Caenorhabditis elegans: one gene and its partner. The protein of the gene in region 2 interacts with the protein of the main gene of each other region in a pairwise test. Each region holds a gene or a part of one and is shown on either strand. Other genes may lie near its edges.

What was found.
Region 1: the proteins of T01B7.5 (region 2) and F54D10.7 interact in a two-hybrid assay, tested with the Caenorhabditis elegans proteins (2 studies listed by BioGRID).

What each region holds. Positions count from the first base shown.
Region 1 is NC_003280.10:3,812,811-3,827,703, forward strand, and holds F54D10.7 (Ubiquitin-like domain-containing protein), read right to left. Parts: upstream 8,487-14,893; 5' UTR 8,472-8,486; coding exon 8,361-8,471; intron 8,311-8,360; coding exon 7,891-8,310; intron 7,676-7,890; coding exon 7,412-7,675; 3' UTR 7,339-7,411; downstream 1-7,338. Other genes in the region: lido-15 (MADF domain-containing protein), read left to right, coding at 35-251, 306-536; fbxa-24 (DUF38 domain-containing protein), read left to right, coding at 4,648-5,097, 5,145-5,354; skr-15 (Skp1-related protein), read left to right, coding at 11,345-11,899; gtnt-31 (Glycosyltransferase family 92 protein), read right to left, coding at 12,903-13,149, 13,209-13,294, 13,340-13,627, 13,884-14,036, 14,087-14,184, 14,442-14,724, 14,800-14,893.
Region 2 is NC_003280.10:8,708,155-8,726,442, reverse strand, and holds T01B7.5 (Sas10 C-terminal domain-containing protein), read right to left. Parts: upstream 9,610-18,288; 5' UTR 9,599-9,609; coding exon 9,576-9,598; intron 9,524-9,575; coding exon 9,318-9,523; intron 9,274-9,317; coding exon 9,050-9,273; exon of another isoform or gene 9,007-9,049; coding exon 8,920-9,006; intron 8,055-8,919; coding exon 7,948-8,054; intron 7,901-7,947; coding exon 7,780-7,900; intron 7,735-7,779; coding exon 7,576-7,734; intron 7,410-7,575; coding exon 7,257-7,409; intron 6,511-7,256; coding exon 6,367-6,510; 3' UTR 6,362-6,366; intron 4,931-6,361; 3' UTR 4,758-4,930; downstream 1-4,757. Other genes in the region: nssp-20 (Activin_recp domain-containing protein), read left to right, coding at 133-259, 311-371, 701-820; trcs-2 (TRansport of membrane to Cell Surface), read right to left, coding at 1,413-1,689, 1,740-2,425, 2,474-3,073, 3,121-3,756, 3,807-3,947; T01B7.13 (uncharacterized protein), read right to left, coding at 10,726-10,822, 10,872-11,026; cyn-11 (Peptidyl-prolyl cis-trans isomerase 11), read left to right, coding at 10,163-10,264, 10,319-10,477, 10,523-10,703, 11,141-11,250; Ras-related protein Rab-21, read left to right, coding at 11,435-11,572, 11,696-11,863, 11,909-12,116, 12,183-12,292; srg-15 (Serpentine receptor class gamma-15), read left to right, coding at 16,030-16,239, 16,282-16,500, 16,555-16,701, 16,794-16,976, 17,130-17,215, 17,257-17,374; cup-16 (uncharacterized protein), read right to left, coding at 17,634-17,717, 17,760-17,915, 17,965-18,288.

The DNA of each region.
Region 1 (14,893 bases), 4.9 Mb from region 2:
GTATTTAATTTTTCTAGAAAATTCCAATTTTCAGCGCCATGAAGTACCTCTCATCTCTTATTCCACAAGTCTCATCGACCTCGACTCCCACCAAGGTTAAGCTGGAGAATCCATTTCTCAATGCTTTCGAAAACCCGATGAATCTGAGGCATGAGCTGAGTCAGATGCTCCAGGCAAGCTCGTCGAGTTCTTCAATACCTTCACCTATCTCTCCACCAGTGCCGAATCCAAAAGCAGAGGATGAGGAGAAGGTATCGTTTTTTAGACTTATTTGCAATATTCCTCAACATTTTGAAAACTTTCAGCCGTCTCTAAAACGCCCTCGAGAATCCAGCCCAGCGGCAGTAGAGACAGAACGAATAAGCCAGCAAATCAAACGAATTTTCGAGCAATATCCCGAGAAAACCAATCTGATCCGGTCTGTGCTCACCTACACCGTGCTTGCTTTTGATGAGCCCGACGCGGATTTTTCGACGGCTTCAGAGGTGTTCGGCGATCTAGCAGCAAGGTTTCCAGTTCGGAACTCAAAGCGATGAATCTTTTTAATAATAAAATTGTTTGTTGATCTACGTATGTTATCGAATAACTTTATTTCCAAATAAAAAAGCAACATTGTAGTATTAATATGGGCACGGTTCCCATCTATTAACCGCCGAGCCGTCTTTAATTCCTGCGCTTCTCAGTGTTTCGTCAACTCGGAGCTTACTATCTGAAAAAAATTATTGTGCAGTGATAGCTGAAAAAATATGAGTTTTTGGTTTTTAGCTGATTTATAAGACTTAACAATTAACTAGAATATAAACTGCAGATCACAGCGCCTCAAATCGGGAGAGTTGTGAAAATCGAGAATTGGAAAGTCCAACGGAGCGCGCTTGCACACTTTTACGGTATTAAATGAATTTCACGCGAAATTTCGCGATTATTCGAGTTTTCAAGATGAAATTTGGAAAAAATAATTAAATATTGGGATTAATATTGCTTTAAAAAAAATTAAAAAAAAAATTTTATTGAACAAATTCAATATTTGGTTGATTTATCATTGATTTTCGAACCGATTAGAACAAGTTAACTCTATGACAAAATTTCTACGCGAAACCAATTTTTCAAGCATCAATATGCGTGATTCCAATTTTTAAACGTCAGCTTGATAGAAATAACACGGTTTCAAGTCTTGAAATTGCTCAAAAATACCCAAATTAACGGAAACTGTTTAGTTGGCAGTTGATCTTCACTAAACCAACACTAAATGTTCAGATGAAATCAAAACTTGTTTTATCATTTGAAAAAACATTTTTGAATTATTGTTCCTCACAAAAATCAGATGATAAGTAGTATTGCATGATGAGAATCCATATACAAACCACTACAAGTACAACTTACATCTTTTATTTTAACTGCACTTTGTTCTGAAAACTCGTCAAGTTCGATGATAATCTCTTCAAAGTGAAACAAACTTTCTAACTTGTTACTATCAAATTTAACATCAGAAAGGTGAAATGTTTTTGCATTTTTCCAATGCTCCATTTGAGTTAATCTATTAAACTGATCAATTGAGCCATCCACTGTCAAAACAAGTTTGTCCAACGTTTGAGCAAGTATGGGAGAATTTCAATGACGTCATTGAGTGAAAATGCAAGTCCTACCTCTTTCACATGAATACATTTTTCTGATTTCAAAAAATCCATGAGAGATTCAATGATTTTGCAATTATCCTTTCTATCGTTAGAAATATAGAATATCGAAGTGTGTTTCATGATTATTTTCAAATCCGTGAACGCTAATTCCACAAAGTTTTCTCCTTCAATTCGTCGGCATGGTTCATCATTGTAAGTCACAGTTGTACCACCACCGTCTGCATTGGCATATATGATCTCAAATTCGATCAAATTCATTTCAATGTGACCTTCCTCCGTGATATAAAACAGGACTGCATCGAAAAAAACTCCAAATTTATCGACAGCTGCTCTCAAACCTCGGCATACTTTTCGAGTCGTCAGTCTGAGACAGAATTTACTTTTTTTTTCTGATTGTTGGACTTTTAAAAATAAAATGAAAATTCACTCACAGATCCATGAGCTCCAACTTTTCCAGAACTAGATTGGCGACATGTAATGGCATATTCAGAAAATGTCCATGAAACTTTCATTTTCAATAAATTCTTGACGTCCAGCACAAGTCACAGTTGTGCCACCATTTCTTGCTTCATCGTAATTAATTTCAATATTGCCCAATTCCAAAAAAATATTACTCTTATAAATGAAAACTTGAGCCGCATTAAATTGAACTCCAAACTTGTCAACTGCGGTTCTCATGCCTCGGCAAACTTTTCGGCAGACCAGTCTGAAATTATGTTCAATATATAAAAATTTTATTAGAATTTTATTCAGAATTTCAAGAGCTTTCCAAAATCTACAAAAAAAATTCAAGACAGATTTCAGTGCTTTCTATTTTTTAAATAGTTTTTTAAAAAGTTTTCAACTAATTAAGTACTTGAAATTTCAAAAATTGTGCCACAAAATAGGGGTGAATTTACTGTTCCCAAAAAAAATCTTAAAATCAAAAACTCACAGATTGGATGGTTCTAGCTTTTCAAAAATTTGATCAGCGATTTCCAAGGGCATACCGAGCAAACTTGGTTTTTCGGGCATTATTTGGATATAAAACTGAAAAATATAGAAATTAAAAAAATTCGTAGTATCACCCAAATTTCAGAGAGAAATTTTTTCCCAACATCTTTACCAAAAAATCGGAAATTATAGGTCCAGATAAAATATAATATTAAACAAAACAACTTCGTACACCAAACTGTGCATTTTGTCGTCAACTCGGGTGTTTGCGTACCTTGCATTATTGTGGACGACACAAAAAAGGCTGTAACAACTCATTTTCTACGGGACGTTTTGAAAACACAACGGAAAGCAACTCACAGATCTATCGGCTCCAACTTTTCCAGAACTACCACATGAAGAGGCATACTGAGCAGTGTGACTCGTTCTTTTGTTACTGAAAGTTTTGCATCTTGGTTTGTAGCAGACATATTTGTGGTTCAACGCTGAAAATCTAGTATTTAATTGTTTTTTAATGAATCAAAAATGTAGAAAATACAGTTGAGTGCACCAAATCAATATCAATTTTTAGGAGTAGCAAGCCTTTATCTGTTTGCTCTCTTGCTTTCCACAGTTATTTTCTTATCAGTGTTCAGCTGACATGTAGTTTATAATCTATTCAATCAAGTGTGAGTCATTTTTTCGCAATTTGAGTACTCAAAACGTTCAGTTTCACTTCCTTTATGATATGAACTTTGATACCAAGCTGAGGTTCCTTAGTCAATCCCACGGGTACCGGATGCCGGAGGTAGAGGAGCTCGACAAACTCTAGTAATTCCACGAGATTGAGAACGTATTGGAAGTGTTGGTGAAGGGGCATGTGCTGGAGGTGGTGGAGCGGCACGTGTTGGATACGATGCAGATGAAGAAGATGTTCTAAAATCGTTTGACTCATTTGTTTAAAAAGTTTTAGCTACCTCATTTCGTATTATCTCACAACATGTAATCAGTCTTACTTAGACGTGTGGAAGTGGTCCTTGATCTCTTCTCATTCTAGTGTCATGTGGTCTTGCCGTCGCGCGTCTATGGGCGCGTGACGACGAGAGACACGAGGCACGAGAGCAAATGGCGGCACGCCTTCACGAGTAGAAGATTCTTCAGTCGAGAAAGACCTGACTTGCTGGCCGGACGAAAGCAATACTCTTGTCGTCCGGCTCAGTACGACTCAATAAAGGTATTTGAAAATACTATCAAAGTGTTTTTACTATGATATTGAAACTAAGGCCGAGCATAGGCCATAGCCTTTCAAATGGAGGTCCCCAACAGACAGGAGTCTGTCCTCGTGTGCACCTGCAGGTTTTTGGTGGGACCTACTGCAGGGTCGGGGACAGCTCCGCGAGCATCGAGGTCGAAAGGATTCAGTCCAGTGCTAATAAGACTACCGCTACTACCATTACATCTACTGTATTCTTCTGCTCACCTCCCTCCCCAAGCTACTATTCTATCTAATTCCATCTATATCTTGTCAGCCGATTTACTTTGGATTGCATTCACTATGGCCGGTCAATTTGAAAGGGAAAATGCCCACCTTGCAGTCGTTGGAACCAACTACAATCGGAAGAACTGGATTGAGTTTTACATCAGTGATAATTATTATTTTGTTCCAATGTTAAAGTCCTTTAGTGATTCAGTTTTTTCCCAAAAAGCCAGAGAGCTATTTAAAAAAGAGCCAAAAAGGGCCAAGAGAGCCACGTTATTTTGAGCCATATAATTGCGAGGAAAATACCGCAAATATTTTGAAAAATTGAGCGAGGGACAAGTTCGGTCAGCGAAACAAGTTTTCGTTTGAATGTTATTTGACATTTAGGGTTATTTTGTTTCTTTTTATTGTATTTTGGCCCGATGAGATATTAGCTTGGCATAGTTTTTTTTTTCGCTTTGATTGTTTATTTCTCTTTTGGAATTGGCCTTGACTCGAGCATAATTCTATCTCTGCTCCGTGGACGGAATTTACATCAGATACGCCAATGCAGATAACGGAGGTTCAACTGTGAGATGGTACGGAAATCAAGAAACAACACCTATCGAAGGAGCAAGTTCTATGAAAATAGCATTCCAAGATTTGAAAACAGTATTGAAGCACACATCGGAATTAAAAATTTCTAACGAGTGCAATGAACACGAGAACACGAGAACACGAACGAGAACGAGACGAGAGAGAGACGAGAGAGAATCATTTATTGAAATTTTGAAATCAGTTAAATGTATTCACGTGAAGACAATAAAACTTGACAATTTCTCATTCAATAATGCCATCACTATTCTCCAGTATTGTAACACCAAAGTTCTGGAGAACATTGAATTTTGGATAACCCATATAAACAATCAGTTTGAAAATATTGCTCATCTGGATCAATGGAAATGTGCGAAAAAATGCAGTCTGCTTGGTGATAAGCTTGAAAGTAGACTAATTGATCATCTGTTCCACTTTCAATGGTTCCAGATCCAACTGGACGACTTTCCAACATATATTGCAATCAAAATTAGAGATGTAAGTTACAATTAAAGCGTTTTAATTGATGATCAAATATTTTTCAGGATCTAATGAGAAGAAGTACATTTCAAGGTTGCCGTATAAATTGTGACAAATCAAAGTCAAATCCAATTGAAATTGCAAAAGTGTTCAAACCTGACTATGCTGGCGGCAATGAGTTTCTAATTGAATATTCAATCGATAATGCAAACTTTGTAATTAAATGCAATTTTTTAACCCGTTTTATTTTTTGGTTTCTCGTGCAAAAGTTATGAAAAGCTTTTATGTTTTATTTTTGAAGCCATTCGATTTTTTGTCAAAAATATATTAATAAACAAACGAAATATTTTTCATGATCAAAGTCAAATGAACAATACAAATGTAGAAGTAAATCTATAAAAATATTTTAATTAAACAGGAAAACATGTGAAACTGTTCGAGTTGTATTTTCTTATTACTACGAAATTTTTACAGACCATATATAAAAAAAGTTACAATGAAATAAGGAAAACTAATTTAAAACTCCTAAAGTATTCTACAAACAAACAAAGATCACCACTTGAACTTCAAATGGTTTTTAGAGCTCGAATATAAAGGTAAGAGATATAACTAGACACTTTGCATTTGACTGAGAATTTTTTATCATCATTCGAATATTCAAATTCATACAGAGAGGCAAGATATCAGAAAGTGATTAACTAAGAAATTGTAGAACATATTAAAAACTATAATAATTAATTAAAATCATGTGTTTATCTTTCAAGATGAGGGAGTTAGAGCAGCCAGTAGAATAACAAAAAGTATGCAATACAAATGTAAGTCTAACTCCCCCATCTTGAAAGATAAAAACGTAGTTTAAATTGAATATCATAGTTTTTGATGTGCTCTACAAGTTTTCAGTTGATCACTTTTTCATATCTCGCCTCTCCGAAAAGATAGGAGTTGTCGAAGTTAAGGTATCTAGAGCCGTAGAGGGTAGGAAGAATCTGATGGTTCCTTATTAAGGAAAAGAAAATATAACACGAAACTTGTAAAAAATGTTAATTTGATCATTTGTGTAAGTATTTGAGCCATTTTTAAGGAAAATTGGAAAGCAACACTTACATAAGAAACTTGGCGTATCACAGATCACTTGGTAGATTGGAACATTGAAATTTGATCAGAACTATTTGTATTTTTAGTGATTTTGCTTGATTTATAGCTTTATTCTATTGAAATCTTTGATTTCATAAAAGTTTTTAAACAAATTTTGCAAGATTTCCCTTGATAAATGTTGCTTTACTTTTTTATCGATTTCGTTGTAAAGAAAAATCATTTTTCGGTGTTATCAGTCAAATTAATGACTAAAACTTTTTAAAAAGATTCAAACTAATAATAAAAATTCTAAAATTAAACATTTATGCAATAAATTGCTCTAAAATCAATTTTTATTTGCAAAATTCTGTTTTTGGTCAAAAAAAAATTTCAGATTCGCCGAAATTCAGAGCTCATTTCGAGCTTATTTGGGGAAAAATTTATGTTAAAATTAAGTAAATCGCATCGCGAACAGTCTCTGGGCGGTCCCGCTTGTTGAAAATTGCTTTAAAATCCCTAAAATTCAGCAGAAACGCGATACACACAACGTGAAAATGTGTTGAAAAAACATTCACCATTGAAACGGATTTCTTCTCTGTCTATCGGCGCCCCTGGAAACAACTGGGTATCTTTCTTGATTGCGAGTTCGGTTTCAAATAGGAACTGTTTCAAAGCTTCACTCCATTCGCGCTTGCCGTCACGTGTCAGTTGGAAGAGGATTTTCGCGTCGTTCGTCGGCAAATTTTCATGTACAGCAGCCTCTGGTTTTCGAGAAATTTCGTTCTTAATGGATGCTCTCCTTCATTTCATCACGATGTTTTTGAAAAGCCTCCATCATTGCTTTATTGAATTTTTCTTGATTTGCCTGATGTTCCTTTCGCTCGACTTCCAGTTTTCGAACGGCTTCCATGATTTCCTTGTTGAGTTTTGTCTGCTCTTCAATGACTTTCTCAAGCTGCGAATCGGATACAATGCCCGAGTTTTCTGGCTTCTGGAAAAGTAGAATTTATTAGGTGCTAACAAAATAAGTGTTACCTTTCCAAGAGCCAAACCAATATCTGCAGTCTCCATGCGAAGTTTTTGGAATTCAGACATCAAATTGTCCGAGCGGAAATTCGACATGGTCGCCGAGATTTGGAGAAATGAATTTAATTGGTAGCAGAAAAATTAATTGATTCACGTTTTTTTGAATAAAACATTTATCTTTCTTTTAATCAAATAATAATAATATCCACATTCAACAATAAAGTTCAATAAATTAACAACAACATTCACAATCTTCATCACACTTTTCATCAGTATGTTGCTTGATGACAGAACCGTCCTTAATTCCAGCTTCCTCAAGAGTTTGATTATACTGAAGCTCCTTGTCATTGAGCATGAGACGTTGGCGATGCAGTGCGAGGCCACCGTGCTTCAGGAGGGCCATTCCGACCGTGTAGATTGTGTCAAGGGAGTCCAGTTCCATCGGGATTCGGCTTCCGTGAAGGATAACATTGAACTTTATGTTTTTCGAGCCAATCTGAATAATTTTTTTGCTAAATTTACGGGCCAGGGGTGGGCGGCAATTGACAAATTTTTTTGTCGGCAAATTCGGCGAATCGGTTAATTGCCGGTTGGCCGATTTGCCGTTTCTGGCAAGTTTCCGATTTGCCGTTTGCCGAACATGAGATTAAGCCTATGCCTAAGATTAAGCCTAAGCCTCAAGTAAGGAACACAATCATCTCATAAAATTACCTTTCTCCGGATGGCTTGAGTATCCTCAGTCACTTTCTTGAAAAATTCCCTCTGTGCCTCTTTCATAGCATCGAGTCCAGTTTGGAGCAACTTGATCGCATCCAAAACATCATTCTCCTCCTCCTCATCTTCGTCTTCAGAGGTCTCATTATCCTCATCAAGCTTCTCAAACAGCTCCTCCTTGAAAATCTCCAAATCATCGCTGAACTCCTCCTTCTCCCGAGCAAACGCCTTCTTCATAGATCTGATTGCGTCGAGCATTTCTTTGTTGAAAGCGTCTTGGATCTTCTGACGCTTCGAACGTTCGATGGACATTTTCTGAATCGCTAGCATCAGTTTCTGGTTGACTTTATCCTGATTTTCACAAAACTTGTCAAATTTGGAAATGCTCAAGGACGTGATCGAACCGATGGTGGGACCCTGGAATTTGGAATAAATATTAATAAGGCCGATACAATTCAAATTCAAACTTTCTCAAGGAAATTATTGATTCCAGCAGTTTCAGATCGCAAATTTTCAAACGCCGACATCAAATCCGACGGTCCATCTTTATTGGTAGATTTTCCAACAGTTGGGGGCATTGCAGAGGTTATTTTCTGGAATTTAATTAAATTTTAAAATAACAAGAAAAACGGGAAAAGGACACACAAAAAAACAAATCAATGAGAGAATGAGCCTCTCCCCTGCATACCGATTGTAAAAGGGGATCGGAAATCGCCTCGTGGCAAGTGACCCACTTTATTGGTGCGCGGCGGGGAGATCAATTTTTTTTTGGCATTTTTGAAGATTATTAAAACAAAGAACCACAAAAAATGTAGTTGTCCTGCGCCTTACAGATGAAAAATGCAGAAACTCAATATATGAGCGGAGCAACTTGTCATCTAATATGTACGTGATCTTTCAACGATCAGTTACTAAATAAAAATTTCGAGTTTTCATTTCCTTTCCGGCCCAGACCATTTTGCAAAGTCCCGGTCATACTCTAAAGATGGCAAACTCAGATAGCATTTCTTTCTTTGCCGTCTACCGTCTCTGCCAGGGGTGTGCGGCAAATCTCAAAATTTGCCGAGCTCGGCAAATTCGGCAAATCTATTTTTCCAATATTTGCCGAGCACGGCAAATTCGGCAAATTCGGCAAATTTGCCGTGCTTAACAAACTCGGAAAAATTATATATTTTTTGATATTTTTTGGAGCACCAAAACTACTGAATTCTTAACACACCTCTGGTTTCTGAACAAGTTAGGTGTAGTGTGTCTGCTTAAACATCAAAATAACTCAATTTGTTGTCATTTTACTAAATTTTTGGCGAAAAAATCAACAGTTTTAGTCAACATTGTACTGTCAAATTTTTGACGTATGCGGCAAATTTCGAAATTTGCCGAGCTCGGCAAATTCGGCAAATCTACTTTTTTGAAATTTGCCGTGCTCGGCAAATTCGGCAAATTCGGCAAATTTGCCGCACACCCCAAAATCATCATTATTGGCAGCAGAGACTCTCTGCTGCCAATAATGATGATTTTAATTTGTTTTAAAATTGATTTTTTTTGTGCATCTTCAAACTGACGTATCTCGAAAAATACACATCTGGAAAACAAATGTTTAACTAACAAAATGATCAGAAATATTTTTTCTTTTTAATTCATTAATTTTTATCTCAATACACCAACTTTTTGTAGAGTTAAGTAGAGACATCAAAGCCATTTTACCAAAAATCACAAAAAATTTTGAGAACTCCTTTGCTGTACCCGTCATAACCCTACGCCCATCAAATTTGAAAAGATAAATTTTGTTGGATAAAAAGTAAAAAATATTTCTCCACGTTTTATTAGTTTTAAGATTTTTGATATTTTCATGTTCCGCCAAGTTACAGACCGTTTTTCGAAAAAATCCAATTTCGCTCATAAAACTCTTCATATCCAACGTAAAAACTTGAAATTTTGAAAAATGATCACTTTTTTGAGGTCTCTACAATGTCCTAAAAAATCTTTCAAAAAATCCTGCCCATCTCCAAAATCGTCCTTCGCTCCGAAAAATGAAATCGGACTTTTGCTTCTCGAGAAATGGGCGAAAAAATCAAATTGCGATTTTTGGGTCGAAAAAAATATTTTTAGAAAGCTGAGAACACGCTATTTACGAATTTCGTGTTCATTTTAATTGATTCCTTCTCTGAAATGACCTAAAAATTAAACAAAAAGAACATAATTTTAATTCTCACGTAAAATTTTTTGGCATGTTGCTCAGTGCTTCAATTGTTTTCTTGCGAATAAAAAATTGACGTGAGAATTAAAATTATGTTCTTTTTGTTAAATTTTTAGGTCATTTCAGAAAAGGAACCACCTAAAATGAACATGAAATTCGTAAATAGCGTGTTCTCAGCTTTCTAAAAATATTTTTTTCGACCCAAAAATCGCAATTTAATTTTTTCGCCTATTTTTCGAAAAGCAAAAGTCCCATTTCTTATTTTGGAGCGGAGGACGATTTTGGAGATGGACAGGCTTTTTTGAAAGATTTTTTAGGACATTGTAGAGACCTCAAAAAAGTGAGCATTTTTTAAAATTTCAAGTCGATACGTTGGATATGAAGAGTTTTATGAGCAAAACTTGATTTTTTTCAGAAAACGGTCTATAACTTGACGGAACATGAAAATATCAAAAAACTTGAAACTGATAAAATGTGGAAAAATATTTTTCACATACAACTAATTAAAAGTTTTCTTCTGAAATTCAATGAATGTTGGGTTATGACGGGTACAACAAAAGAGTTCTCAAAATTTTTTGTGAATTTTGGAAAATGGCTTTGACTCTGTGTGGCTCTACAAATAGTGGGTTTATTAAAATAACAATTAATTTAATAAAAAGAAAAAATATTTCTGATCATTTTGTTAGTTGAATATTTGTTTTCCAGATGAGTATTTTTTGAGATACGCTAGTTTGAAGATGCTCAGTTTAGCGAGTTTTGGAGGATATTTGCTCCACTTAGCGTCTTTCCCTATATTTTTTTTGTTTGAAAGTTTATATAGACATATAGAGAAATGCTTGTGCTTTTTGAAAATATATTAGTTTCCAGTTAAAAGTTTTGAAAATATGCTCAAAATATGTTTCAAAGTCGCAATGCTCCTAGAGAACATTCACATTTTTCGTTAATTTTGATGAGTTTTTTCTAGTTTTTAAAACAACAGAGCTTTGGCCCTTTTTACCTCTACTGTGGTATTTTCCTGCTTGGCACTTTGCCAAGAACTCATAAACACTGCGAGTACGTTGGACCTCCAGTTTTCCCAGGATGGGGCCTATTGATCGAAAACGCAGCGTTTGTAAGGTGCAAGGGTGGATGGCAGACACACCATTCATTCTATTTATTTGCTGGTTTAGTAGGAACTGTTCTCCTCCGTTTCTTTTACTGTTTTGTTCTGTTTCCTATGTTTCTTCTAACATTTCTCCATTTTCCAGAAAAATCATGTCTGCCGAAGCTGTTGCTGCTGCTCCAATCGCCGAAGAAGCCACCCCAGTCGTCTACTACAGCATTGAGTCTAACGACAGAGTGGTCTTGAAAATCAGCGAGCAAGCCATCAAACAATCTGCAACTCTCTCGAACTCCATCACCAACCTCGGATACAGCGCTGAGAACGCCGAGTCAATGGTCCCGATTCCAATCGAGAAGGTCAATGGGAAAACTTTGAAGCTGGTTGTTGAATGGTGCGAGCATCACAAGGCCGACCCGGTTCCAGAAGCCTATCCATCTGGTAACACAGTCCTTCCAGTGTGGGATCGCAAGTTCGTGGACATTGAGCACGACGCCCTAACCGATTTGGTGAACGCCTCGAACTTCCTCGAAGTCATGACACTTTTGACTTATTGCTGCAAGTTCATCGCGGGTTTGGCAAAAGGAATGTCGCCGGAAGAGATGAGAGTGTTTTTCTGCATTCCGACGGATGAGGAGGATGAGAAAGCGGAGAGGTTTGGCAAGGAGAAGACCGAGGCATCTGCAACTTCTGCTGATACAACTGCATGATTTCCATACGTATTTCTGATTTAAATAAACTTAAACTCTGTCTAAAAATGTTAATGAGGTTCGCACTCAGGCGCACCAATAGCTCCTTGTCTGTCCAGGTTTACGTAAAACTTTTCCCGCTCTCTCTTCAGAATAGAACGCAAAAAAACAAATTCATTAATTTCAGACTAAAATGTCTTTGAAAATCTGTGACCTTCACAATTTTTATTTAAAAAAAACATAGTGAACGAAAAATAAAATTCGGGCTGCCAAGGGGGATAGACATACAGTGCGCCCAACTTCTATAGCGCCCCCTCGAATTTTTGATTTTTTCTAATAAAATCCCCTTTTTTTGGCTTTTTCTAAGAACAACTTATTCATGACTTAAGTTCAAACTGATCCAGACATCTTGCAAATCAATTTTCAAAAGAAATTTATCCGTGGAAATTCGTAGGATCTCTAAAATTGTCCTGAAACGCCTAATTTTATGTTAGAGGGCGCTGCGCGATGCTTGTTTATGCTTGTTTATTCATTCATCATTAGAATACAAAGAACCCAATACACGTCTCAAAAGCTTTCGGTCCTCTCGATCTTTCCAATTGCTTTAGCAGCATGGTGTTGAATGGAATGAGCAGGGCAATTATATCTTATAGATGTCGAAATTGGGAAACCGAGATACCTAAATTAGGAGTTTACGAAAGTCTTGAAAAATGTCAAAAATTACATTTTGTTGTAGGAAGGTGTACGATAAGGGTTGCTATTTGAAGGTGATGAGTAAAACGACTGAACTCGTGGAAGATCAAAGAATTCCTCCTTTCCAAAAATGATCCGCAGGGACTGTCTAGCGGCCTTGATTCACTGAAATGATAAAAATGCAATAATTATTGAAGTAAACAAATTGTTAACAAAAGAGACGCGTGGCCAGTTTTGTCCTTAAAGGGAAGTTCTACAAAAAACCATATAGCATTTTAATAAAACACATTTATTTTGTACTAAACAAGCTATAAATCAGAAAAAAAGAAAACTAAAATATCGGAGACATTGAAATACACGGATTCGGATATTGCCTCGATTCCCATAAATACCTCGCAATTGTCGTACAATTTACAGGCACCTTACAGTACACATGTTGAACTTTTGCAACTATTGCATTTGACAGGCTTTCCACAAATTCAGGTTTTAAAGGCCATCTTTGGACTGTGGGCGACTTGGTTGGAGCCGTGGGATGCCAATCGGGAGCCTCCATTCTGTGTAGGGTATTTCGGTAGTGTCTGGAAAAGTTATTTATTGTGAGGGGATTTATGAAATTCTAAGACTTTTGGGCTTTTACCTGACAGCGGCTTGAGATGCGTTAAGCTTGACCGTGTTGACTCCAAACTGCTTAGCAATTGCATAGTGAATAAACATTATTCCTATCTGAAATCACTCAAAATATTTGAATTTCCCAAATCTCCCACTGACCTGCTCCGGTCTAACAATAGCCTTTGATGCATTCCACGTGGGATCTATGGTGTTCGTCCATTTCCGGAACATCATATCTTCTTTCAGCTGTTCCATTGAAGTGAACTTTTCAGGTGTATCTTCATATTTTAGAATATTCAAGACGCTCACGTGAAGCTCCCCTACGCTTCTGGGTTGGGATTCTATGACTTCCAGCAGGTTATTATACTCGGTTCCAGACGAGATTCGTTCGTCCAGATCCAAAAAGGTGATCCATTTTGAGTGATATTTGGATCGGAGGTGGCAATCCTGAAATGGGAATTTAGAATGCAGGCAATAGCGTAGGCACGCAGGTAACCTTGACGCCTAGGCACCTGGGCAAAAAGGTGCCTAGATACCTAGGCATTTAGTGAAGCTAAACACCTAGGCACCTAGGCACCTATTTACGTAGACACATTGGCACCTAGATGCATGGACAAGTAGGCACTTAGATATCTAGGCAATTAGGCACATAGGCACCTACATACTTAGGCACATAGGCGTGTAGGCACGTAGGCAATCTTACCTGCATCATCAAAAGGTGCCATGCATAAGCTGGTCTTTCAAACTTGTCCTGTAAAAATGTGACCTCAACATCTCCTGTTCTCACATATTCCGTCAACATTTTCCGATCGTAGTCATTAATCGTTCCGACATAAAAGTAGAAATATGTTGCGCCCTAAAAAGTTTAAAAACAAAACTTAAAATTCCTATAAAAAACAGCATCACCTCAAGCTTCATATGCTCCACAAAATCCACAATTTGAAGCCATTTTGATTCGTTCCCGTAGAGTGGGGCTACACAGACCGACAAGTCGTGGACGGGTTCTGGAAATTCAAGTCGTTCCAATTTATGACTAATTGAATCAGATTGTGGAGTCGGAAAAAAATTTGTTTCTTTTTGGATGTCTCAAAATTGAAACAGGTCTGTGTGTATGGAAATTATCGAAAAAAACGTTTTTTTGCGACTAAAAATTAAAGATTTTTCCGCGATAAAAAAATCAAGTTCTCCAAGAACACGAACTTCACACATGTTGAAAAAGGTACCTCATTACAGAAAAAGCGCCCGTCTGTAATTTTCTTACCATCATAAGCCTTGAAGCTCAATCTGACTGGCTCCGGTGTAGACGAGTTGAAGCCACTGGAAACTGACACAAACTCGGCTCCGGCTCTTCTTGGACAGTGGACCACTGATTCGGGAAAGACTACACTCTCATATGCACTTCCCAAGAGTTCTCTCCGTTTACAGTCGTAGTACCGGCAGTAAATTTTCTGTTGGCTTAGGTATTGTGAAGTTAGGGATATTGAGATGAGCTTCGGGTATACATAGGCACCCAGGATGGAGGTTGAGGTGTAGTTTTGATTGTTCTAAAAAAGTTATTCTCAAATATCCAATTTTTGACTTTTTGATTCAACTTTTGGTAATTTCCAAAAATCACTTACTTCAACTGATAAGTTCAACCTTCTCCATAGCCACCGAGAAAACATATCGATATACGACTGGAACTCTGAATCCGTATGAACCTGATTCCAAGAA
Region 2 (18,288 bases):
GAGAAAATACAGTAAATAAATGTAAACCAACAAAAATACTTTTTTTTACACTCGAGAAACTATGATTTGAGTCTGTAAAAGTATTCTTGAATCTAAACTTGGCAAGTTCGAACATTTCAATTAAATTTGCAGTTATGAAACTTCGATGTCATCAATGTAATCAACCACGAGACTGTTCAACAGGAGTTTGCTATGGTGATATTTGTGTCAAATCACTTGTTAATAATCATTATGTGAGCAAAGGATGTGAGAATCTCACGTGAGTTATTTCCATCTCAACATAACCTATGAATTCATTTCAAACATTCAGGATCTCAAGCAGTGTATATGAACCACATCTTAAAATGAGAACTTATTGTAAAGAAGAAGAGGTAAGTCTTTTTGTGCATATTTTGTATATTTTCTTTTGCTTAAATTTTTTTTTTTGATTTTTCAAACAATTTCAACTTTTGGCAGGTTGCAAAATTAACAAAAATTTAAACTTTTTGAAAAATTATCAGCAATGTCGCGTTTTTTTAAAACTCTTACAGTCTTTAGATACAAATTTTCGACACATAATTAACTTATAAAGCTGGTCTAGGCTATGTTGGACTAAAAGCCCAATTTAGGCCCCGCCCATTTCTTGGTTTTTAGAGAGAAAAACCAGAAAACTATTACTTCTTAAAAAAATAGAGATTTTCCTGTAATTAAATTATTGTAGGTATTAGGAGTGGATACAATCAACTGCTATTGCCGTGATGCAGATTTCTGTAATTCGGTACCTACTCATCATTTTACATTATTTTCATGCATTGCTCTTATATTACTTTTACGGTTATAATCCTTGTTCGCCAACTCAAATGCTCTTCCATTCTCATTCGTCTTTCATGTTATTCAATATTTAGACTAACAGATAAATAATTGATATTTGTTTTCTAGAATTCGACTCAAGATATTTATTAAATAATACTTAATGGGGCAAACAACTTGGAACAGTTGATGGCAATACAAAAAAAAACAAAGAATAAAACTGAGTGGAGACATGATGAATTTGAACTGTTTTCAGTTATAGGTTGGAAATTATAAAATAGTGATATAAACTAATACAAGATGATAAAAAGATAGAACAGGTTGTGTGAGTATCTCGTCAGAGGGGGAGAAGCACTGGGCGACTCGAGAAAATGTCGAAAAGTCATGAGAACGGGATGGTGGGATAGTCATGAGAACAGGGAACAGTGAGCTATGAAAGGGGCATTTTATGATTTCTCAAGGGCGGCCCACGCCAGTTTAAGGAAAGCAATTTGAAAATGATAGATGTCGGAAATCTATCCGGACATATATTAGAGGAAAGATGGATAAACGAGAAAATGAAAAAAGAAAAACCATAGAAATGGTTAAAATTATTAGAATAAAATTGGCAATTGGAAAACGATTTAACGATGGTTAGATAAACTGAAGAGCTTGCGTTTCGCATCAACGCGTTTGAATGTTTCTGGATCACTTGCGGCGAAAGCAGCGATAAAATGTGGATTTTGCCAAAGATCCCAAATCAGTTGCTCCGTCCCACATGTGCATGAATCGGCTTCTGAGTGTGTTGCTGATGTTGCTGGTTTCAATTCTTCTTCGACGAGTGGCATTGGTTTAAGAATATCGTTGGCATTTGGCATCATTTTCTGATAGATCGGAAGGTCCATATGTGGAAATCCATACCTGAAAATTTTACATTGATTTACTGAGAAAAATAATTTTTTCAAACTTACGAGAATGAGCTGTTGAATGGATTGTTACCATTTGTAGCTGCTTCAAGACTTGACCAGCAGTTTGTCTCCTCAACGGGCTCATTTCCATCCGACTTTAATCCTGGAGATGATGCTTCTGATTGTGTATTTCGCAGATCACTGATTGGTCCAGAATTCACAACACTTGAGGTGGAAGGTTGAGATATGGAAGCAGTAAGTTCAGTGAAGAAGTTATCTGCAGAGAAAGTGGAACTAATCGGGCCAAATGATGAACCGAGAAAATTGTCTTGTTGCTGGAAATAATGTAAGGGCTCTTCTTGCTTCGCCTCAACTGGAGTCCCACTCCACACTGATCCAAGTCGGAGGTGTCCGAGACCGTTTGTCATTGGAATGCTTGAAGTCATTTTGAAATCATAAGCGAGGTCAGTTGAAAGTGGTACTGCTGGAAGTCCTGGTGGTGGTGGAAGACCTGGTGGAGCAACTAGGCCTGGTGGTACAAATCCAGGAGGTGGTAGAGCCGTGTTCGTTTCTTCCACAAAGATATTATCATCCTCGTCTCCAGTAACTGTTGGAAAGTCTTGTACAGATGGTTGAGCTGCAGGTGAACCAAGATTTTTTAAGTTCCAGCAATTTTTGGCTGGAGGAGGTGCAGCTTGAACTCGTTGAACAGGAGTTGGAGGAATAACTTGTTTCTTCGGTATTGGTTGCTGAAATTGGAAAATACTTAACTCTCGTTTTAGATTAGTATAACTTACCTCATACATCATTGGGAAGTGCTTTTCGCCACTTCCATTGATAATAGAATGAACTTTTGGAAAACGTTCAACTTTCTCCATTGTAGTGACCAAAACACATCTCATTGCATGTCTTCCATGACGTTCTTGAGCGTAATATGTGATGCGAACAAGTGTTCCAGTAGGTGGGATGTTTCCACTATTCAGGTCAATTACTTTTGCAAATGCAGTTCGTTTCAATCCCTTCTCGTCAAACTTAGCAAGGAAGATGCTCGGATTTTCGGGTCCATCTACAACTGATTGGATCTTCCAATTGTCCTCCGTTTTCAGCATTCTTGAGTTCTCGTCGACAATTTGATCATATTCTTGTTCTTCGACAAGAGAAGAACCACAGGCGACCCATGGAATATCATCATGTTTTCCGTTGTAAGCAATCTCTAGATGAACAGGTGTGAACGGAAGTGGTTTTGATGCCTGCATATATCGATCAGTACTGTTCCATGGAATGTAGATTCTCCCAACATGATCGTTCCACGCCCAACCAGCTTTTCCATGTGAAACCTTATTCATAATAGCACTTATGGTTATCGTAAGAGGAGTCAACTTTCTAATTGGATAGATCTGCAAAAAAAACAAATTAGTATTAATTTTACTCTAGTTTAAATTACCGAGCCCATATCTTCAGGATTACTTCCCATCAGCTTAGACGTCTTGACATCGGAAACACGACGCCCATCAAAGGTTATAAAACGACCTGGTCTCATCCAACTTTCATACAACGTAGGTGCAAATTCAACATTTTGGCAAGTGGGAGAAGTCACAGATATCACGTAATTGTCAGAGATATCATAGATAACACCCGATTGAGCTTGAACAAATTCAACTGATTGATGATCCGATTGTCGTTGAACGGCGGTTGGAGGCCCCAATTTCTTCATATGTGAGGTATTTTGAATGTCCGTAGGAGTAGGTGGTACGCTTGTCGTCTTTCTAGTATCATCATAAATAGCCCATGCTACAAACTTGCAGCCGTGAGCTTCTTCTTGACGGAAAATGTATATGAGATAAGGTTTGTCGATATATGCTCCTTGTCCGTACCAACACGCTCCATTCGTCGTTCTTGTTGAAAAAGGAACAAAAACTTTCGCAGTTCTTCCATGAATTGAAACATGCCCAAATTTTAATTGTTCATCCAAATAAGAAAGACTTCCATAAACTTGTAAAAGATCAGTTGGTTTAATTGCTGTCAATGCACTATAACGACCATTTTGAAGTTGAGCAGAAAATATTAAATGATCACCATTCTGTAAGTTATTTTCTAAAGTTCTTTGAAGCCACGATTCGAAGAACTTACCTCTGGTTCATAATATTTCTTTTCATAATTCAACCGTAAAGCACTATCAGGTAAGTCAACTAGACGATTATGTTGTTTTTCCAAAATCACACAAGATCTACCGGTTTTCCGAACATGTCCATCTCCTAAAATCTTCGACATCATTCGACTATCGAGTGCAATGCTGAAATAATATTAATGAAATTACGTTTAAATCAATTTGATTTGAGGTTTAAAGCGGAAAGAATAAGAGAAAAAAAGAGAAGAAAATTGGAAAATCGGTGAGGGAGAAGGAAAGTGAGAGCGATGGTTATGCAAGCTGTGATAAAGAGAAAAATGTGAGCTCGACGGATGCACAAAGGACCGTCTGCCAGTCTTATAAGAAAAAATAACATGAGCAGATAAAAAAGTGCAAAGATTGGGGGAGCATTGGGGAACAGTACTCGTCCGCCCATTACGTGAAGCCTCGGTAACGAGCAGCTGAAATTACAGTGACACTCTGATTCTAAGAAATTCAGGAAATATAATATTGCGAAAATGCCACAGAAACAGGTGAATTTCTAAGCTGAAAACCAGTGCTTGTCTCAGTTAGTCACTGCAGCTCACCGAGCATCGGAGATGTTTGCTTCAACACTCTGATAATTATAGGTTTATATCTAAGCGAGCTTTTTGGGGAAACGAAAGACACTGAGCCGACTGAATGGAATGTAAAATGAGAAAATGTAGAATGAGGCGGAGCTGCGAGCTGATATGTGTTGGTGGGGAGAATGACTGTTGCCAAGACAATCAAATCTCCAGAGGGGAAATGAATCTATCATAATCAATGAGGAGCCATGTGATAACAATGTATGAAGATAATAATGAAGAAGTAATGTGAATATGGGAAATGACAATAATAAGATAATAGAAGAAAGATATTCGTCGGGTTTCAAACCGATATAAGGCAATAAAATAATTATTTTCAATAAAATTGAAAACTCAACTTCATTTTGGTAGAAAGGGCGATTTTAGGAACAAAAAAAATCAACAACGAAGGTTAACAGGATAAATGAAAAATGAATAAATCAAAGAAAACAAGATATTAACGATCAAAAAAACCAGGAAAGTCCAGCTGAATGCAGTGGCAACGGAGAAATTGATGACACCTGAAAATTAAATTGGTTGAAAAGGTAATGCAATGTTGAGAAAATTGATAAAAATTAATTTTCAACCGTTGATATCAGAAGTTTTGGATGATAGGCTCTTTTTTTTTTCATAGAAGACACAAAATAAACAAAGGTCATCTATAATTTCTGATGAACGAACATTTTTAGAATTCACACGAGGACTATAACAAAACGATCGATTGTAAAGAAAATAGAAAATGCATTTTTTAATCAGTTCAAAGCCAAGATAATTCAATTTAGAAAAAAAAAAATTAATAATCAAACATGCTGCAGACCACTTTATATCATTGAATAGAAATAGAGAAATATGAAAAACGTCTGCTTATCAATATGTGATATGTGACTACAATTTTCGTCGTAGGCATTTTCCGAGAGCTATGAAACTTTCAGTGAAAAATTGTATGAAAGAAGAAGAGGCTGGAGGCAATAGAATTGATGAATCATAGGAAGACAATCAGAAGAAAGCTTATCATCGAACACGCAAACACACGCAGGCACACACACATATGTGAACGCCATCAATTATTAAATTTTAGCCTAAACTTGATTGAAATAGATCAGTTATTTTCTTTAGCATTCTAGGAAAAAGTAATTTAGTTACGGGTATTCGCCTTTCTGACATGAAACGAGCTATACGAATTATTGAACAAATCCGAAGAGGCTTGGTTTTCGAGAATGACACGTCACAATTACTTTAAATTCTCATCAATGTGTAACACACATCAGACTCAAATCTCAAATTAAAATATTCATTCAGACAGACTAGTCAACACCTTTTCGAATTTGTTGTATTTAAAAAGATTCAAAAATAGAGAAACAGTCTGAAATCACAGTTTTATAGTACACTTTATTGCTCTTATGAAATTATGAACAGCTCGTAGACAATACGAGGTCAGCTGAACTAAAATGGAAAGTAGCAGGTGGCTAGGGCTCCAGTCGTTCATGGGGACGGGGGACACGAATAAAAAATAGGATACTCGCTCTCACACACACACACACGGTGGTGCCAGACCTCGCGCACATATTGCCGGGGTCGAAAAGAGAGGAGCGAAATGACCGATGGAGGAAGAATAAGAAGAAGGCTATCCTCTTTTGATGAATATAGCCCCAAAGTGACCGGGCACACAAAAACACATTCAACCGACTAAAAGGGCAAACGAGAGGAATAGGAAAAGGTTAAACATACGTACCATATGATAAGTAAATTCAGGTTTTTCATTGTTTTTATATGTTGATAGGATATTTATGTTGAAAGTTAATATTCACATTGTTTTCGGTTTCATATGCTAATTATTTTCATGTGTAAAAGAGTGAAGCTCATTTGCGCAGTGGAGAGTGAAGAGTATGTCGCGTGATAAATATGACATGGCACGATATCAGAATGAGATGTCTGCATTACATTCAACTCACTTTTTTTAAGCGATAAGCTTAGTCGACTTGATTGTAGATGCACGAATTCCGCTCGTTTCTCCAGAATATTTCTGCATTTCGCGACGAACGTTTCCAATCTGAGACTTGACGCGCTTCTCGATGGCGTGGACCTTGCGACGATTTTTAGTCTGAAATTAGAAATTATTGAACTGGGAGACTTCAAAAAAAAAAACACACAACGCAGCTAATTGGGAGTTGCAGTAAAAATGAGCATAGTATACGTAACCAAGGATGAAACTCTCAAGTGTCGTCGCCTAGACGTTGAATTGTCTATGTCACAGTGAGTCTATTTTATTTCTTTCAAGAAAAATTAAGATTAAACAAAATCGTATTACTTATCTGTCTGAATAAGTCATGGTTATATGCTTCATTTGTGCTCGGTTTTCTTTTTGAGTTAAAATATGCTTCAGATAATTCATTACACTACGCTTTTTAAAAAACTTTTTTTGAATTCAGTAGCAAGCAGGTGTGATACTGAATTAATTATTTTCTTATCACAACTCTCGAAAAAGAATCTTAAAAAAATAGAAACCAAATAAGCAAGTTGAGATTTCGGCAGCCAATTACTCGCTGTGGTGGGGAGCATAGACGCCGTCTCGACGTATTGGATTTTTGGGTTGGAGCAAAAAATAGAGAGTTATGTAGTGTATTCATATTTTGATCTCACATGAAACTCGGCTTTGTGAGACTTTTTTGTCAAACAAGAATTGTTATTTTTCAAATATATTCATGTATTCGTGAAAGCATTGTAACAACATTTTCATGCACAAGAAATGTCGACCCTACTCATCGAATTATTTTTCATACACTAATTGTTTATGATACAAATATTTTTGGTATTAAAAATAAGATAAAAAATCGAAAATAAAGTTACCTTGCTGGTCTTGGCCTTCTTTTTCCCACGTCGTTCTGCGTATTCACGGTTTTTGGCAACTTTGTCAGAGGCCTTTCTTTTTTCATCTGCATCCATTGGTGTGAAGTGTGGATGAATTGATGTGTTATCAGAAGATGTGATTGTTGAAAGATTCTGAAAAAAGTAAATCCAGATCTTAATCCAATTCAGCTATGTTTCCTGATTTTTATTGACAAAAGAATGTACAATTTTTTTAAATTTTACAAACTTTAAAAATCTTTAAAATATACGGCAAACAAAAAATGTATTTAAATTCGAATAATGTTTTCCCTAAACTTACATTGTTCATAATTGCTCCAAAATTCTTCTTTGTAAGTTGAACATCTCCAACCTTCGAAATCAATTCTTCCATATTTTCTGGCTCCGACTCCGCCCATTTCTTGAGCTCATCCAGATGATCCGAATTCGAATGCAAAAAATCTTCACACTCGGTGATTTTCTGAATTTAAAAGTTTGTATTTGAAATTTAAATCAATCGGAATACCTTTTCAAGTCGTTTCAGCGACTCCACTACAGGATGGATGTCAACAAGTGGATCGTCGAGTTTTTCATTGGAAAACTGTTTGGCTCTGAGATTCAACAGGAATGCTGTGTTCATGAGGTATCTGAAAGATAAATCATAAAAATGGAAATTTAGGAAAAGAAAACATACGATGCATATGTCTGGGCAACGTAGACTAACTGCGATCGCAATGCGCATTTTGGAATCTGCTTGATTACATTTTCAAGAGGCTTCACGACGAGATCGAAGATGCGTTTCTGAAAAGTATAAAAAATTAAAATTAAACCGAAAAAAGGGGAAAATTGAACTGTTAGAATGGTGATGAAAAGAAACAAGTGAAAAGGAAGAAGAGAAAGATAACAACAAGAGAAAATGTTATCAGGTGAAAAGGAAACTGGTCACGAGCTCTCCGGAAACAGCTGTATAACAATTCTTAGCCGCTAATTAGAATTGAAAGTAGCAATATATAATTGAAAAACAGAAAAAGCTGGCGGTCGCTGCCGATATATGTCCAACATCGTTTGGTGTGAATTACAAACCGACCAGGTGAACAGAAACGAGGAAAACAAGACAAGTTATGAGAATAATTAGAATGTGATGTTTGAGGATGAGAACATACGAAACTAACTCGAGCAGTTCAGGCATCGAATTCTTCAGACACCAGAAGGGCACTTTGCTTTCGCTTTTTAATGTTCACACATAACGGCGTCTGATGTTGGATGATTTAAATCGTTTCAATTGTGTGTTTTGTCCGTTGAGAATCATCGTTTAAAGCGAATCGTCCAGCATCCTTAGGCTATGATGGCAACCCGTTTTTGACGTAATCAGAGACGATTGCGCGATTTGAGACCGCTTATCTACTAGCCATCGGTGGTGTTTAGTTGAAAGAATGAAGAGAACAGATGAAGTGAAAACGGGAAGATACTGAAAAAGAGAGAACACGAAAAATTAACCTTGGAAACGATACGAATCAGCATTTGATGTTCACAAGTGATAGCTTCAAAATTTAATAAACTTTCGAGAATTGGCATTAGGAAGAAATAGGAAATTATCACAAGAGGAAGAAGCTGCAACTGATACCGGGAAAAAAGTGAAGAGACATTTTAAAAAATTAGAACTTACTCTTGCTTCAAATTGTTCCAGAGTTTTCACGATTTTTTTGTTCTTTGTCCTTGCATTCTCCTCATTGAATTCTAAAACTGTTTCCACCTAAAACTTTTCATTATTTTAATTATTCTTTCAATTCGTTTACCTCGACAGTTTCTTCTTTTTCTTCCTCATCTTCATCGTCGTCGTCAAATAAATCAGCAATGGCAGCTGTCGATTTGTCGATTTGTTTTTGACGAGTCAACGCATCTTCCTCTTCGAGTTGAGCATCTTCCATTTCTTCTTCACGCATTCCGCCCCAATCTTTATCCACGAATCCAGTTCCATAGAAATCTTTCCTCTTTTTACCCCATTTGTTGTCCGTGATATCTTAAATAAATTACGTTAATCAGGTAATTCAGAAAGAAAACTACCATTAACATCGTCATCATCAAAGTCGGATCCATCGTCTTCACTGCTATCCGATGCTTCTGCTTCAACGTTTAACACCTCTTCTGGACGATTGAATGTTTTTCTTTTGTGAATAGCACCCTTTTCGACTTTTCTGTCTTTGTTATGAAAAGTATTGATTTCATCAATGAGATCATCATTTTCGTCTTCGTATGAGATATGAGCAGATCTGAAAATATATTTAATGATTATTTATAAATTGTGAAAAACATTCAACTTACGCTTTCCCCTTCCTTGATGACATAGTTCTAGTATCTGAAATCCAAAAATTAGCAATTTATAGCATTTTCAACAGAGAAACGGATTGCACCGACCGAAAATAAACCAAATTCTGATTTTCAAATCAATGAATAACTCTAATAAAGTTAATTATGCTTTAATCGTGTGATAAACTTCGATAAATTAATTTTTAAATGAATAGAACGAACTTTTACAAGATAAATTATTCAAAAATTGAATTTTCGAGTTGAATTTGAGAAAAGACGGGGGAAAATTATTAGCGGCAGGGCTTTGTGGGCGGGGTTTCTGATTGCAAACTACCCGCGCACTTTATTATTGTTCTATACACCCATTTAATGCTCACCTTTTTTTGTTTTGAATAGAACGAATATCACTTTTTTCTTGAATATGTCGAATTTTATTGACGAATTTGTATTTCTTGGTTATAAAACTTATGAACGATTAGTTCAGTTGATCCCATTATTCTCGGAAAAACCTGACACATTTCGAAAATACTTATTTCGAATACTTACAGAAAACGTTTTTCTGGTTTTAAAAACTAACTCATTTATATGTTTTCTTTTTCAGAATGACTGAATACGACAAGTTTGCCGAGCAGCTCCGTCATCCGGATAACCCAATCGTTTTTCTAGAAGTTACCGCCGGTGGTGCACCAATCGGAACTATTGTTGTAAGTTGACGACCATTCCAGTTTTAATTTGCTATATATTTCATAATTTTTCAGATCGAGTTATTTGCTGATGTAACACCGAGAACTGCTGAAAACTTTCGTCAGTTCTGTACAGGAGAATACAAAAAAGATGGTGTCCCAAACGGATACAAAAACTGCACATTTCATCGTGTGATCAAGGACTTTATGATTCAGGGTGGCGACTTCTGCAACGTAAGTTTAACAATTTTAAATTTTAAAGTTATATCATTTTTTCAGGGCGATGGAACCGGTTTGATGAGCATCTATGGTTCAAAGTTCCGTGACGAGAATTTCGAGCTGAAGCACATAGGACCAGGAATGCTTTCGATGGCTAACGCTGGCTCTGACACAAATGGTTGTCAGTTTTTTATCACTTGCGCAAAAACCGATTTCCTTGACAACAAACATGTAGTTTTTGGTAATTTTTTTTTATTTCAAATTCACGGATAAGTTGATTTCTGTAGTACAAAGAAAGAAGAATACGGATTGTGATTGTGATAAATGTCTCCAACGTCATTAGTTCTCCATCCCAATCCCCTGAAAGCAGTGTTTTAAAAAGAAAATCGCAAATTTTAATGATACCCACTGATAATGTTGGTGATACATTGATGGTGCCATAGTTGTTGTTTTATACTGATTATATGGGTTGAACATGCCAGCGTTAGCATACAATAAAGGAAGTAATGTTTGCAATGAAACGCATTTTAAAAAGAAAAAAATTAGAACGAGAATGCGTGTCATCGTCTAGCTAAAACAACTAGATTTCCTTATATCCTTATCACCTTTTATACGAGATAAAGCTAGTTAATGACGCCATTGATATGTTTGATATTTCTGACCGATCGTTTATTGCAGGACGAGTACTCGATGGAATGCTGACGGTTCGGAAAATCGAAAATGTTCCAACTGGAGCCAATAACAAGCCGAAACTTCCGATTGTTGTTGTTCAATGTGGCCAACTCTAATTTTCACTGTATTGTTATTTTGATCTCGTTTTGTTATATTCACAATAAACTATTAATTACTTCTGATTATATGGGTTGAAAAATGAAATGAAAAGACAGTATAAGTGACTGTTAGTATATCTGGTTCAGTTTTAAAAGCGAAGTAAAGAAAATAAACCTTCAAAATCGAATACTTTCAGAATAAATGCTCGAAACCAACGTGGATCAGAAGTCGTTCAAATTCAAGATCGTGTTGCTCGGCGAAGGATGTGTTGGTAAATCATCACTTGTGCTTCGATTCGTTGAAAATAAATTCAGCTGCAAACACCTGTCGACGATTCAGGTAATAATTTAGAAAAAGGTTGCGATAGATAATCCAAAAAAATATTTCTGGGTTTTTCTTCATTCAGTTATCAAGATTTTGATATGCATATAAAATATTTTCCAATTGTTCTTCATATTGCAGGCAAGCTTCCAAAACAAAACTGTGAATGTAGAAGACTGCCAAGCTGACCTACACATCTGGGATACCGCTGGACAGGAGAAATACCACGCACTCGGTCCAATCTACTATCGAGGAAGCAATGGCGTGCTACTGGTTTTCGATATCACTGATAGAAAGTCATTTGAAAAGGTATCAAAATATTTTAAAGAGCACCACTGAAATCATTTTTTTAAGGTTAAGAACTGGGTTCTCGAAATAAAAACATGCCTGGGAAATACTGCAGAGATTCTGATAGTCGGGAACAAGATTGATCTTGAAGAAGAACGGCAGGTCACTCGACAGGATGCGGAAGCATACGCAGAATCAGAAGGGGCATTGTATATGGAGACTTCTGCTCAGGACAATGTTGGAATCTCTGATGCTTTTGAATCTTTAACTGCGAGTAAGTTGGCCTAAACGTTTTGCATGGCTTGGGTATTGCCTAAATAAAAAATACCAAAAATTTCAGAAATGATCGAACATTCGCGTACTCGTTCGACAGAACCACCATCTACGAATCGATCCATCCGATTAATTGACAACGACGAAGCAGAAAGGAGTAAAAAGTGCTGTCGCTGATTAAAAGAGCTTAATGAATGCTTGAACACTTCCCCCCTTATACCGGTCACCTGTATTATTTTGTTCATTTTTCCCGATTCTTTTCCTCTACGTCACTTTCCTAGTCGCACTCCTGTCAAACTTTACGCACAATTCATACAATAATAAAATCATATTTCTATCTTAATGGTTCAATTTTTTTTTTTTAATTTTTTTTTTTAATCACTACTGTAGCGCCTGTCGATTTACGAGCTCGAATTTCGAAATGAATTTTTTTAACGTATAGTGACTGCTATACTCCATTTTCCTTCGATTCTTCATATTATTTTCTCATTTTTTGCCTATTTTAATATTCTACGATTCATTTCGAGAATCGATCCCGTAAATCGACACAGGTGCTACCGTAGGCATTTAAAGAATTACTGTAGGTTTCGCTACGTGATATTTTGGGCGTCAAATATGTTGCACAATACGCGTTCTCAGAATTTAGTGCTACTGCGGTAGCTACCGTAATACTGTAGAGATCTAGCGTGATCACCATCAGAATACACAATATTTTTAAAAATAAAAGATCACAGAACAGTGAGCTGATGATAGAAAAAAAATGGATATGTAATACTTGATCATTTATTTTTTCCCTTTAAACTTTCACGCAAATGTTGGCAGGTGTTATTATGTTGAAGCTTGCTCCATTTTCAGTCTCAAAATTTTCAACTTCCTATTCCTGGAAAGATTACTTTCGAGACATTGTTCTGAATAATGTATAATTCCACAACTATATCATTCAAATGCGGTAGCAACTACAATTTGATATCTCAGCTTTTAATATATTTTGTGAATGCCTCCTATCTTGGAGTTGGAGTTTTCCTACATATCTTGATATTAAGAGTTTTATTATTCAAAGAAAGGCAGATATTCCGCAATAACTCGTTTTTTCAAATATATGTGATGGATTCGATTGCAGTGAGTTTCTGAAAGCAGAAGCACGAGTTAATCCATATCTTTCCAGAGCACATTTCTTCTTCTAACTGATATGTTTTTCGTTCGATTATTCATGTATGTACCTCCCCTTTGTGCTATAATTAGTCCTTTTTTCTGGGATCCTTCCATAACAACAAAGTTTGTGTACGTTTCTATGAGTCATGCAAGATTTTCAAAATCAGTTGCTCAAAAAAAAAAGGCGCGCGCCTTTAAAGTCGTAGAAGTGGAAAAAAAAATGCACTGTAACTGAGTGTCTAGTTTCTCAAGAATAATTTAATTATATTTAAACATAATTTAAACTTATGGTTGATTCCGATTGCCAGAATATTAGTTGTTATGTTACCTTTTATTGGTACTTGGAATGTCATAATCTCAAGAGTTTTTGTTTTCCCGTCTGATGGTGGATTTGCGATGAATTATATCAGAAATGTAGAATGGGTCAGTTGAATAAGAATAAAACTTCTATCAGTTTTTATTCAAGTTTTGAATTTTTTAAACCCACTCACTGTTTGAGTTGCATAAATTCCACGAAAATGAGTAGACTTTGGAGAAGCAGATTTCAAAGTACTGGAAACAAGTATAATTTTTTATTCAGGCAGTTTTATCTCTTTTCCAATCAATTTTCATATTTACTGCATTAGGATTTACGATAGTTTGTACATCAATCACTTTATATGGATTATTTGTTCTACCAGACAGGATAAAATCCGCCGAAAAAACTCTTTGCTTTACAAGTTTATTTGTATCGTTATGCTTTCTATTAGTTGGAGTCCTACAGGTTTGAAAATGTGACCAAGGTTTTAAGTCATAGGTATGTTGCAGATTGCCTTTGTGGCATGTTCTGTATGTCGTACTGATTTTAATATTCTTTATTATATGTATTTGATGAGTTTTTGGACGTTTGAGGCGTTTAATGTTGGGTACGTAAATCAAGCAACATGATTTTTTTTCGAGTACCCCTAAATGTAATTTCAGAACTGCACTGGTGATGCTTCTTACTAATAAGCATATACGATCACTTGTTTTCTGTTGGAAGTCCAAGAAAAAATTGATAATAACTTTTGATCTTAAATTTGTGACGAAATCTTTACGCTTTTTTTCGTTATTATCAATTTTTTTTTGAATTTTGAAATGCTTGCTTTTAAAACATATCACTTAAAATTGCCTGACGGAATAGGATGCCTGACGGAATAGGATGACATATACAAACTTTAACAAAACTGATGGTTCCCAAAAATATGGTCCAATAACTGGACAAAGTTGCGGAACGTAGATTACAAGACGATTCAGGAGTGAAGTAAGGATCAAAATAGAGCTCTGAATGATCGAAATTCATTTCTAGAAAATCATGTGTGTTGGAAATTTTGAAAACGAAAGTTTAAAACCTACTTCTATGGAATCCGACACGAAAATCTGAAAGAAAGAACTTCTACTATAGTATTTTCTTTCTTTTAAAACGATAATTCTGATAATTGATAAATGCAGAAATAATCCTATTCCTTGATATATCAGGGTTACAAAATATATTGATATTTCTTTCAGTGGATCATAGTCATTAAAATTGCAAACAAAAGGGATTGAAGAATAGTTATAAGGGTTCATGGCAAGGCGAATGAACAAGAAAATGATGACGAATGAAATCACAGACCAACACCTTGTCAACTTAATTATCCAGAACTTGCAATCTGTTTTTGAGCAACGTAATCTCGTTTTGAAGTATATAGGTGCAGGATATAATAGCACCTTTAAGTGATCAGAGATACTTGTGAAAACTTGAGAATTCGACGAATTTTCAACTGACAATTAACAAGTTTAAACTATGGTACCTTGTTTCAATTGTTTCAATGTAGTTTTTACGTGACTGGTCGGTAAAAAGATGGGGTACTGATGAAATTGAGAATTTAGCACACTGCGAAAAAAAACTATTTTTTAACTGTCACAGCTCATCACCCAGAAAGATGCACATCCAAAGAAAACATTTTCATAAATGTTGAAAATTGTTGAATTCTGGATATCAAATAATTGAGAACTATGAATTACGAGATTCTACTTTCTCCGTCACATTGAGGAATTTGAATAAATAAAACGAAGTTAAAAAAAGGGTTTTCTGGACATTTTCTGTTCAGGCTGCGAATTCAGCTTACTCATAGTCAGTTTCTTTTTCAGAACATTCAGAACGTAAAAAGTCCTCAAAAAAATTAGACCTACACTTTTTTCCAATTATCTAGGAAATTGGGGAAACCCCAATCACAGATTGCCCTACAGTTCAATTTTGAAAATAGCTGCTATTTGGATGTGATGGAGCATACGAAAAAAGACCCTTAGCTATTGTCAAACTTTTATTCTTGTATAATATATGCAATACTCTTCAAAAACCTGTAGCCAAAAATTTAACAATTTTTCAAGAATCTGATTCCGTGAAGAATTTTGCACAGCTCTGACGTGTACTTTATATCAATAGTAAGTCAATCGGTGTTTCCTCCACTCATTTTATTAATAAATTTCCGACTATACTTTTAACACTACGAACGAGTTCCCATTTTTCGTTTGCATAGTCTTCAAATTTTCGATAAGTTTACCAAATTATAGCCTTTCGCGACTTTCCGACGTATGATATTCGCAGAAAAGGACATTATTATCGTTTTTAATTCTTAGAGATATTTTTCTTTGTCACCTGCATGTACACACCTCCCAAACCACTAAAACTAATCAAACCACCTGTTCCTGGTCAAGTTATTTTCAGTGAAAACAAAAAAAACTTATTTATTGAGCGTAGAATGACTACTAACTATTCCGAACCCGATCCACTTGTTTGTGATGAAACCTATAGCTCTAGCATCGAAATTTTAAAATATCTTTTAACAATATCATATTTAATACCAGGAGGAATCCTTCATTTATTCATACTTCATACGATTTTAGTGACGAGAAGAGGTTATTTCAAAGGTAGCTCTTTTTTTGCAATTTTTGCACTGGATTCTGTTTCGGTAAGACAGTAGCAATTAGTTTGCCTTTTAAAAGTTTTTCAGAGCATTATAATTGTTTTTATTGATTCATTTTACGGTCGTCTCTTTCTTTATGTCCCTCCACTTTGTCCCATCGTTGGCCCATTTTTTTGGGCGTCATCATTAATTCCAAAAATATATTTCTACTTGAGTGTTCACACAAGATTATCTAAATGCGTAGCCCATATATGTATGGTATTGAACAGAATGACATGTGTTCTAATGCCAACTTATTATGGCCAGGTGAAGCTGCGACTTTCAAAAAAAAACATGGTATCAAAAAACCAAAGTTTTCAGATATGGCGTAAGTTGACCAAAGTGTCTTTAGTGATAATATGTATTCTTCCATTGGGTGGAACTTGGAATATAATTATTTCCCCAAGATTTTACGTTTTACCATCTTATGGTGGATTTGCTATAAGCTATGTCAGAGCAATTCCTTGGGTACGTCCAATTTCAAGACATTACATAGAATCTCTAATACATAGCTTGGAAGATTTGTATATCATATTCTAGGCAACAACAATTTATTTCAGGCTTCATCTTCTTTGTTCCAATCAATTTATATCCTCACAGCTCTTGTTTTCACTTTTATATGTACATCAGTTACTCTCTATAAGCTCATTTCTCTATCTGATCGTATAAAATCAGCTGAAAAATCGTTATGTTTCTCAAATATTTATATTTCTCTCACTTTTTTAGCAGCGGCAGCTAGCCAGGCAAGAAGTTCACATGATCATACTTTGATTTTCAGTCAAAAACGTATTCAATCAAATTAAATTACTTATATTCAATAAGTCTACGTATGAATGTTTAGACATTGCTCGCAATAATTTTTCCCGTTATTATTTGAATTTTTCAAAAAATTTCAGGCTCTATATGCGTTTTGCACTAGTTGCATGTCATCTGATTTATTATTCACTGCTCAATTTCTGGCGTTTGATATGTTTACTGTTGGGTAGGCGATAACTTTTTGATGTTTAATGCATTAAGTTTCAGATCTGCTGTTATATTATTTTGGAGTAATAGCCAGATACGTGGATTAATACTTCCTTCAAAAGCAGAAGACGATCGGATTTTCAGAGTTCAAACGATCAATAACTCATTTACTCATTGATCTGAAAATTGAATCAGTTAATAAATTTTTTTAAAGGTTTTAAATCGTTTTAGAACATACGTTTGATTGTTATGTTTCTAAAAAGATTGAGAACTTCCAAAAACATTTACTTTTGATTCTGTTCTCAGATTCATGAGTAAGTCAGCTATTTATTCTTTGAAAATATAGATTTTTGAAGCAGAAATAGTTTGTATTTGTTTGTTTAATTATAGTATAAAAGTTGAACCTTTATTGAATTACGTACATATTTACGGAATTTTTATACAAATTTCGTTGTTGAATTTGATATTTTCTTTTCCTTCTTTTTTTTCCCAACTGATTCATACAGTTTTTCGAAATAAGTCTGTAAAATTTAAATCATTAATAATAACGTTTTGATATCAACCTCTAAATTGTTGCACAAACAGGGTTTTGGTGTTGTTGGAGAAAGTGCTCCAGGTAAATAGTCTGAATCTTGACGACGATGTCGAGTTATTCTCGGAAGATACACAGATCTATCATGCCAGTGAGATGATGAATTATGACAACTTCGAAGAGAGCACTGAATTTTTAAAATATTTTCGTATATTTATACTTTATCAAAAACTAACCTTAACGGCTTCAAGAACAATTGTCCACCAAGTAACTTCACCTTCTTCATATGGACTTAACAAAAGTAGAAAATGAATAAGATCCCAACTGATGCGATCTTCCTCTTCTTCTACACGTTCTTTGTCTTCTTCTTCAAAATTGGCAGGTACTCCTGCGGGTTCTCCATTCAATATTTCAGGTACTTGACTAATAACAATAGGCGCTGAAACATCTGCAACGTTGGAAACATCTGATACTTCCGAAATAAAATGATCCTTTAGAATCTCTTGATTTTTTAATTGTTTTAGTTTTGGTACATTCTGAGCAGTCGGAATATTTAAAGA